Regions from separate parts of the Mus musculus genome. Here region 2 is reported to be linked to region 1. The links are microRNA targets in miRTarBase. Many come from high-throughput screens and were not tested one by one. Region 1 holds a microRNA gene; the other region holds the end of a gene's coding sequence.
What was found. The annotated mature microRNA mmu-miR-340-3p reads UCCGUCUCAGUUACUUUAUAGC and lies in region 1 at 2,194-2,215, shown strand. An mRNA with a match to its seed (bases 2 to 7 or 8) in the 3' UTR can be bound and repressed. Matches are read on the target gene's strand: a 7mer-m8 pairs with bases 2 to 8, a 7mer-A1 pairs with bases 2 to 7 and ends in A, and an 8mer does both.

Region 1 (3,000 bases):
GCATTGGCTACTCTTCCTGAAGACCAGAGTTCAATTCCCAGCACCCACATGGTAGCTCCCAACTGTCTATAACTCCAGTTCCAGGCACTCTCACACACGAACGTCTGTATATGCAGGCATAATACCAATACACATAGAATAAAAATAAGTAAATTATGAAGAAAAAAAGAAAAGAAAATTCTCAGAATAAAAAGGGAAGAATTACAGGGAAGAATTGCAAATTTAAGTAGCCATGCTAAGTTACTAAAACAACATAAATTCCTATTAAAGAATAAATTGGCAGGCTAGCAAGATGGTCCAGTAGTTGTGAGTGCTTACTGTTCTCTCAAAGAGTTCGGTTCTCAGAACTCATATGGGACAGTTCACAGTCACCTGTAACACCAGTTCCAGGGAGTCAGTGACAGGTAGATACACACGCATATACATATAAACATGAGGTTAAGTAATAACTTTTTGTTGTTGTTGTTTTTCAAGACACGGTTTCTCTGTGTGGCCCTGACTGTCCTGGAACTCGCTCTATAGACCAGGCTAGCCTCCAACTCACAGAGATCTACCTGCCTCTGCCTCCAGAGTGCTGGGATTATAATAATACTCATAATATTCTTTATTTCACTGCCATCTCTAAGAATTAATACTAGCTATGGTGGTGTGAGTGAGAAAATCTTCCATAGGTGCCCGTATTTGAACACTTGGTCTCAGGTGCATGGTATCATTTGGGGATGTGTTGGAGGTGTGGCCTTGTTGGAAGAGGAGTGTATTAGTAGAGTCCAGCTTTGAAAGTTTAAAGATTCCCAAAATTTACTGCTGTTCTCTCAGCTTAGTGCTTATGGTTCAAGATGTGAGACTGGAGAGATGACTCAGAGGTTTCCAGGGCATTCTTCTGCTCATGGAGAGAACCTGAGTTCAATTCCCAGCACCCACAACAGGTCTCTCACAACTGCCCGTATCCCCCCTTCCAGGGGGTCTGTGACTCCTGGTCTCCACAGGCAACTATAACTTGCATGCACAAAGCTACACACATAAACACATAATTGAAATTAACAGTGTTTTTAAAAAGGTGTGAGTTCTTGGCATCCAGTTCCTACCTACAGTTTGCTGCCATTCTTCCCCACCATGATGGAACTATAAGCCAAACAAGCCCCTCCTTGTATACGTTATGTTGGCTATGATGTTTAACCACAGCAGTAGAAAAGGAACACATAGCTGCATGATTGTTGAACTCCAAAGCCATGTCTTGGTGTTTCAGAACACAGGCATAGGGGTGATCTGGTCACATTCTTTGTATCTGTTTAATGTTTCCATTACTTCAGTCTAATTAACCCCTCTCTCCTACCAGCTACTGCTACTCTAATCCTAGTTTTATCCTGAGGGTTAAGTTTCCTCTGTTGTCATCATCCCTCCTGAATCTGCACCAACTCTCCCAAGAGTTTTTTGTTTTGTTTTTAAGGTTTATTTACTTTTTTATTGTGTGTGTGTGTGTGTGTGTGTGTGTGTGTATACCTGCATGAGTCTATGTGCACCATGTGTACAGAGCCCTCGAAGGCCAGAAGAGAGTGTCTGTTCCCTCTAGAATTGGAGTTACAGTAGTTATGAGCTGCCATATTGATGCTGGGAACCAAACCTCGTCCTCTGCAAGATCAACCAGTGCTCTTAGCCATCTCTTTAGTCCCATCCCCATTTGTAAATGTCTGAGCCATCTTGTTAGGCTCTTTGAACCCAGCCCAGCTCTAGATGTTGGGGAGAAAGAAACTTTTTTCCTAGGAGGGTTTGTAGTTTGCTTCATCACCTTCTGTAAGAGATCACTGCCTTCACTAATATCAGATGTGCTGCTGTACTTTTTTATTTGATCATTTTCAGTCTCCTTTGGCAACATTGCCCAGTCTCCTCTTTTTGCTAGGATGATAAAGCTACAGTGAGATCTATTCACTCTTGTCCTCCTAACAGTGAATATTGACAAGTGTTGAACTAATTAAATTTTTCTTTCCCAAACAGCTTCCTGTTGAGATTAGTTGACGCGCCCATTTAGTGTTCGGTTAAGGAAATTACTGGATTGGTTGCCTTGGCTACCTGTGCAGCTCTCCCCACTTCCAGCTTGAGTCTTCAAGAGGGAGCCTCAGAACTGATTTCTAAAACCAATTGTACTTGGTGTGATTATAAAGCAATGAGACTGATTGTCATATGTCGTTTGTGGGATCCGTCTCAGTTACTTTATAGCCATACCTGGTATCTTAACACCACAGATCATGCCTGTTGATCAACATTGTAAAAGCACAAACTTAAGGTTTCTAAATGGAAATTTAAACTGGTTTAGCATTCTTTTATGATTCTTTTTAACTCACTCACCAGAGGCAGATGTTAACTTAATAATGCTAGTTTTAATTTTGTTGTCTCCTTTTTGTTTATAGATTTTTTAAGCAAAAATAAACTGGTAAACTACTACTCTAATAAAGTGAATAAACCGTTTTGAATACAGTATTATGCAAATATATATTCCATTGAGCTATATTTTTTTCAAAACTTCTGTTACTGAGTTTCTGTTGTGTCTCATCTTGACTGCTAAAGGTAACAAGAAATCAAAACAAGTGTTTCTAATATTTGTTGACAGAGCCTTCAAAAGGTCAGGTCTGGGGTCTCTGCTTGCTGTTTTGAGAGGGTATTTTGTGTTTGGATGCACAATCCTCCTTCATACTCACAAAAGTGACCTTGGTGAGTAGCTGCTCACTCTGACTTAAAACAGGCCCTTGAAGCCATGTGAGAAAAGGACTTGAAAACACAACTGAACCATCCTTGTAATTAACTTATAAAAGTTGTGCCTGTGGGCAGAACTCTGAACAGCTTTTAGGAACTGAAGGTTTTAGGTATCATTATGGGTAGTAGTCCAGAAAGTTGAAACTTGGGCCTGCCTAGAGGATTTGAGTGCGCTGGGCATGGTTAAACAAGGTGGAAAACTAACATAAAACTCAAGTCTGAGGCTAGCCGAGGCAATGTGAGATGCTGGCT
Region 2 (3,115 bases), not on the chromosome of region 1:
ATGGAAATTGTCCTGGGTGGTTTTTTTTTTTTTTTTTTTTTTCCTAGTAATACAAAGCATTTTGGAGTATCATCATCTGTGATAATTTAGAATTGTATAGTATACAGAATTTAACGTATTATTTTAGAAGGGCTCTACCAGTGAAATTAATTCTCAAAAAAGGCCCTAAAAGAGGCTCCTAAAATGTTAAGTACGCACACTTAAATGGTTTTAAAATTGTTTGACAGTAGTGTGCTTTGTCTGGGGGTTGAACGCTTCTAGGAAAAAGAGAAGTGCTGACTAAGTTAGGCCTGTGCTAGTGAGAGTGGCCTTCTCCAAGCTAGTAAGTGGTATGACAAAGGTTTATTGTCAGAGCTTTTATTAGTGTTGTAAGAACTGAATTCTAAATGTCCTTCCCAGGAGTCTTTAGTGACATCCATGTGCTGGCTATGATGTACAGTGGAGAGATGTGCTACTGGGGGTTAAAGCACTGCACAGATCAGCAGTCAGAAAACCATGAAGTTGATACTGATGTTTTTGGAGCAAGCTGCACCACACACAAAGAAACCTTGGATTTCCGAGAAGTAGGAGAAAAAATTTTGAAGAAGTATGTGTCGGTGTGTGAAGGACCTCTGAAGGAGCAAGAGTGGAACACCGCAAACGCAAAGCAAATCTTAAGTTTCTTTCAGCAGCGCTGTAGCTAGGTGTTCATCTAGGTCTCAACTCAAATACATAAAGATGCTGAAGTGGGGAAGAAGGCTTTGACAAAGGAGATGTACTACACTGATCTTGAGACGGTTACACTACATAAAGGTGCCCAGTGCACTACGCTTCTCTAATGCTGTCACCTTTCCCTGAGTGGTCTTAGGTCTGTGAAGAATATTCTCTAATTTCTAGAATGGCATATATGCCATTCTAACTGAACTTGAACTACATATAAACCTGCCACTGGTAAGGAGGAACCCAATGTAGATGGACAGTTGTTTTCTAATATTTTAGGTTATATTTTTTATTGTACTAAAATATATGTAACACAGAATCTCCTTATTTTGAAGTATGCATACTTCAAAGATGGAAATCAGGTTTTCTCCTTGTTTCAAATATAAAGTATAGCTATAAATGTAGGCAATTAGAATATTGTGACTAATATTTAGATTTCATTTCCAGTAATTAAACAACAAAGGATTTAAAAGATGAAACTTATTTATTTTGCCATGCATTACTAATAATACTTAATTTACTTATCCATTTTATAAATTATTTTATTTTATTTAAAACAAAAACTGCATGGTTACTCCAAAAAGAAGGTAAATTCAGTATAGATGAGACCACCATTAGTTCAGATGCTTGTAGGGCACATCTTTGCATATAATGAACTTTACACATATTTTGCCTTTCAGTAAGACTGAAATGCTGAAGGCCAAAGAGCCTAGTTTGCTGTCTTGCTCACCTTTCTCTGCCTACCTCAAGTCTTCCGATGCACTAGACTTCTGTCCCAGTGACATCTTCACATTCCTGTCATTTCTGTAACTGAATCTAAGCATGAGCCACACTCAGTTTCTCTTTCTGAAGTCTTACATTTTAGTAACTGATGACAGTTCTCTTCTTTTCAGCTTTTAAAATTTCTTTGTTTTCATTGGTTTTTCTGTTTTCATTCTACAGCTTTCAACCTTTTCACGGGCTTCTCTAGACTGCTCTAACTCCTGAACAGCGACCTCTTTCATGTTTTTTTTTGCCCCCTACTTCATGGGGCATCATCACATGAATACTGGCCTCCCTTGTTTCCTCTCCTATTTTATCTCCTTGGCAGCATCATCCTTGGCAGGCTCTCAGCACTGCATTAATCTTGTCAGCCAGTCATTCTTAGGAGACTAAGTTTTATGGAAGGCATGCAATCCTTCAAAGTGTATTGCTACACATTGACTTCACTTAACAATCCTAACTGCAAAGCTACTAAGGTGCCTCCCCTTTTCCCACCATGGTAGAGTCAAAGTTCATTAGTCACCTCTACCCTTGCTCTTCCACAGGAAGTTTAGATTATGAGGGAGTCAACTCTATTTATGCATTTTTCTGTTTTAAAGGAGAAGAATTTGCCTAATTTCTGTTGAAGACTGATCTTTGTTATTTCTTCTTTCTCCTGTAGTTTCTCATTTTCTGCCTGTCCTCATGAAAGTTTCATTCTCTTCCTTCTCTTTTTCTCTTTACTCTAAATACTCATGGCAAGCAGTATTTCTCACTGCCATCATGGCTTATGCCACCTATAATGTTAGGCTGGTTTCCATGCCAGGAACTGGAACCCCACTCTCCTTGCTCTCTGAATTTCATTTTTAATTGACTGCTAAATGTCTTCACTTTGACAAATACTGACTGCATGGTCATTTTAAGTTCAATATGAGCAAATAACAAATTTTTATCTCTTATGGAAATCTTTTCTGCCTCATTTCCCTCCAATTTTGTATGTTTTCCAAATAAGCAAATAGAAGGCCTACTTTCCATCCTTATTTCTGCACACACTCTGATTTGTGTTCTAGACCAACGGTTTTCAGACATTAAAATGCGAGGTTCCTTTTTGATAAACAGAATTCTGAATAAGCAGTGGAAGCCAAGGGAGATTCCACAATCCCTGCCACAACTCTTGGCCTGTCTTTATACAGCCAAGATTTTTATGTAACCTAGCATTTTAGCAAGTTTTATTAGGAAAATATTGTAGCTTTCTAAATCTTTAATGTGAATTTTAGAAGCACAGATTTCTTTAGTGGATCATAATCAGTTAATCAAGTGCTTCCACTCCCTTTCCCAAATGCACTTATGTTTTACAACCATAGTACCGTTGTAGACGTCATTATTGCTGGACTGGTCTTTGTGGCCAGATAAATTACTTTACTTGTATGACGTACCTTTAGGAATACTGTGTCTAAAGGCTTTTTTCAGCCCTTTCCAGTAGAAATTAGATGTTCCTTTATTTTCTCGCTTCCTTTCACATGTCACCACAGTACAATGTGTTGTAATTTTTTTTCTTACTACTGAACGAACTCCATATCTTAAAATTTTATCTTTGCACACACTGTTCATTGCATGGTAGGTAGTAATGTCTTCTGAATTAATGAGGCATGATTTGAAATGCCAAACTTTGCAC

Region 2: the mRNA of AW549877 is a reported target of mmu-miR-340-3p. Seed matches in the 3' UTR shown: 7mer-m8 at 771-777.

Annotation. Positions count from the first base shown.
Region 1 is chr11:50,067,569-50,070,568 of GRCm38, forward strand. It overlaps Mir340 (microRNA 340), which reads left to right and starts at 2,134; the gene lies at 2,134-2,231. All of the region lies in intron 2 of Rnf130 (ring finger protein 130), which reads left to right.
Region 2 is chr15:3,983,764-3,986,878 of GRCm38, reverse strand. AW549877 (expressed sequence AW549877) reads left to right here. Exons shown (of 6, transcript NM_145930.3): 6 at 400-3,115. The coding sequence ends at 683. Among named protein-coding and RNA genes, the nearest start is that of Fbxo4, 5.7 kb to the right of the region's middle.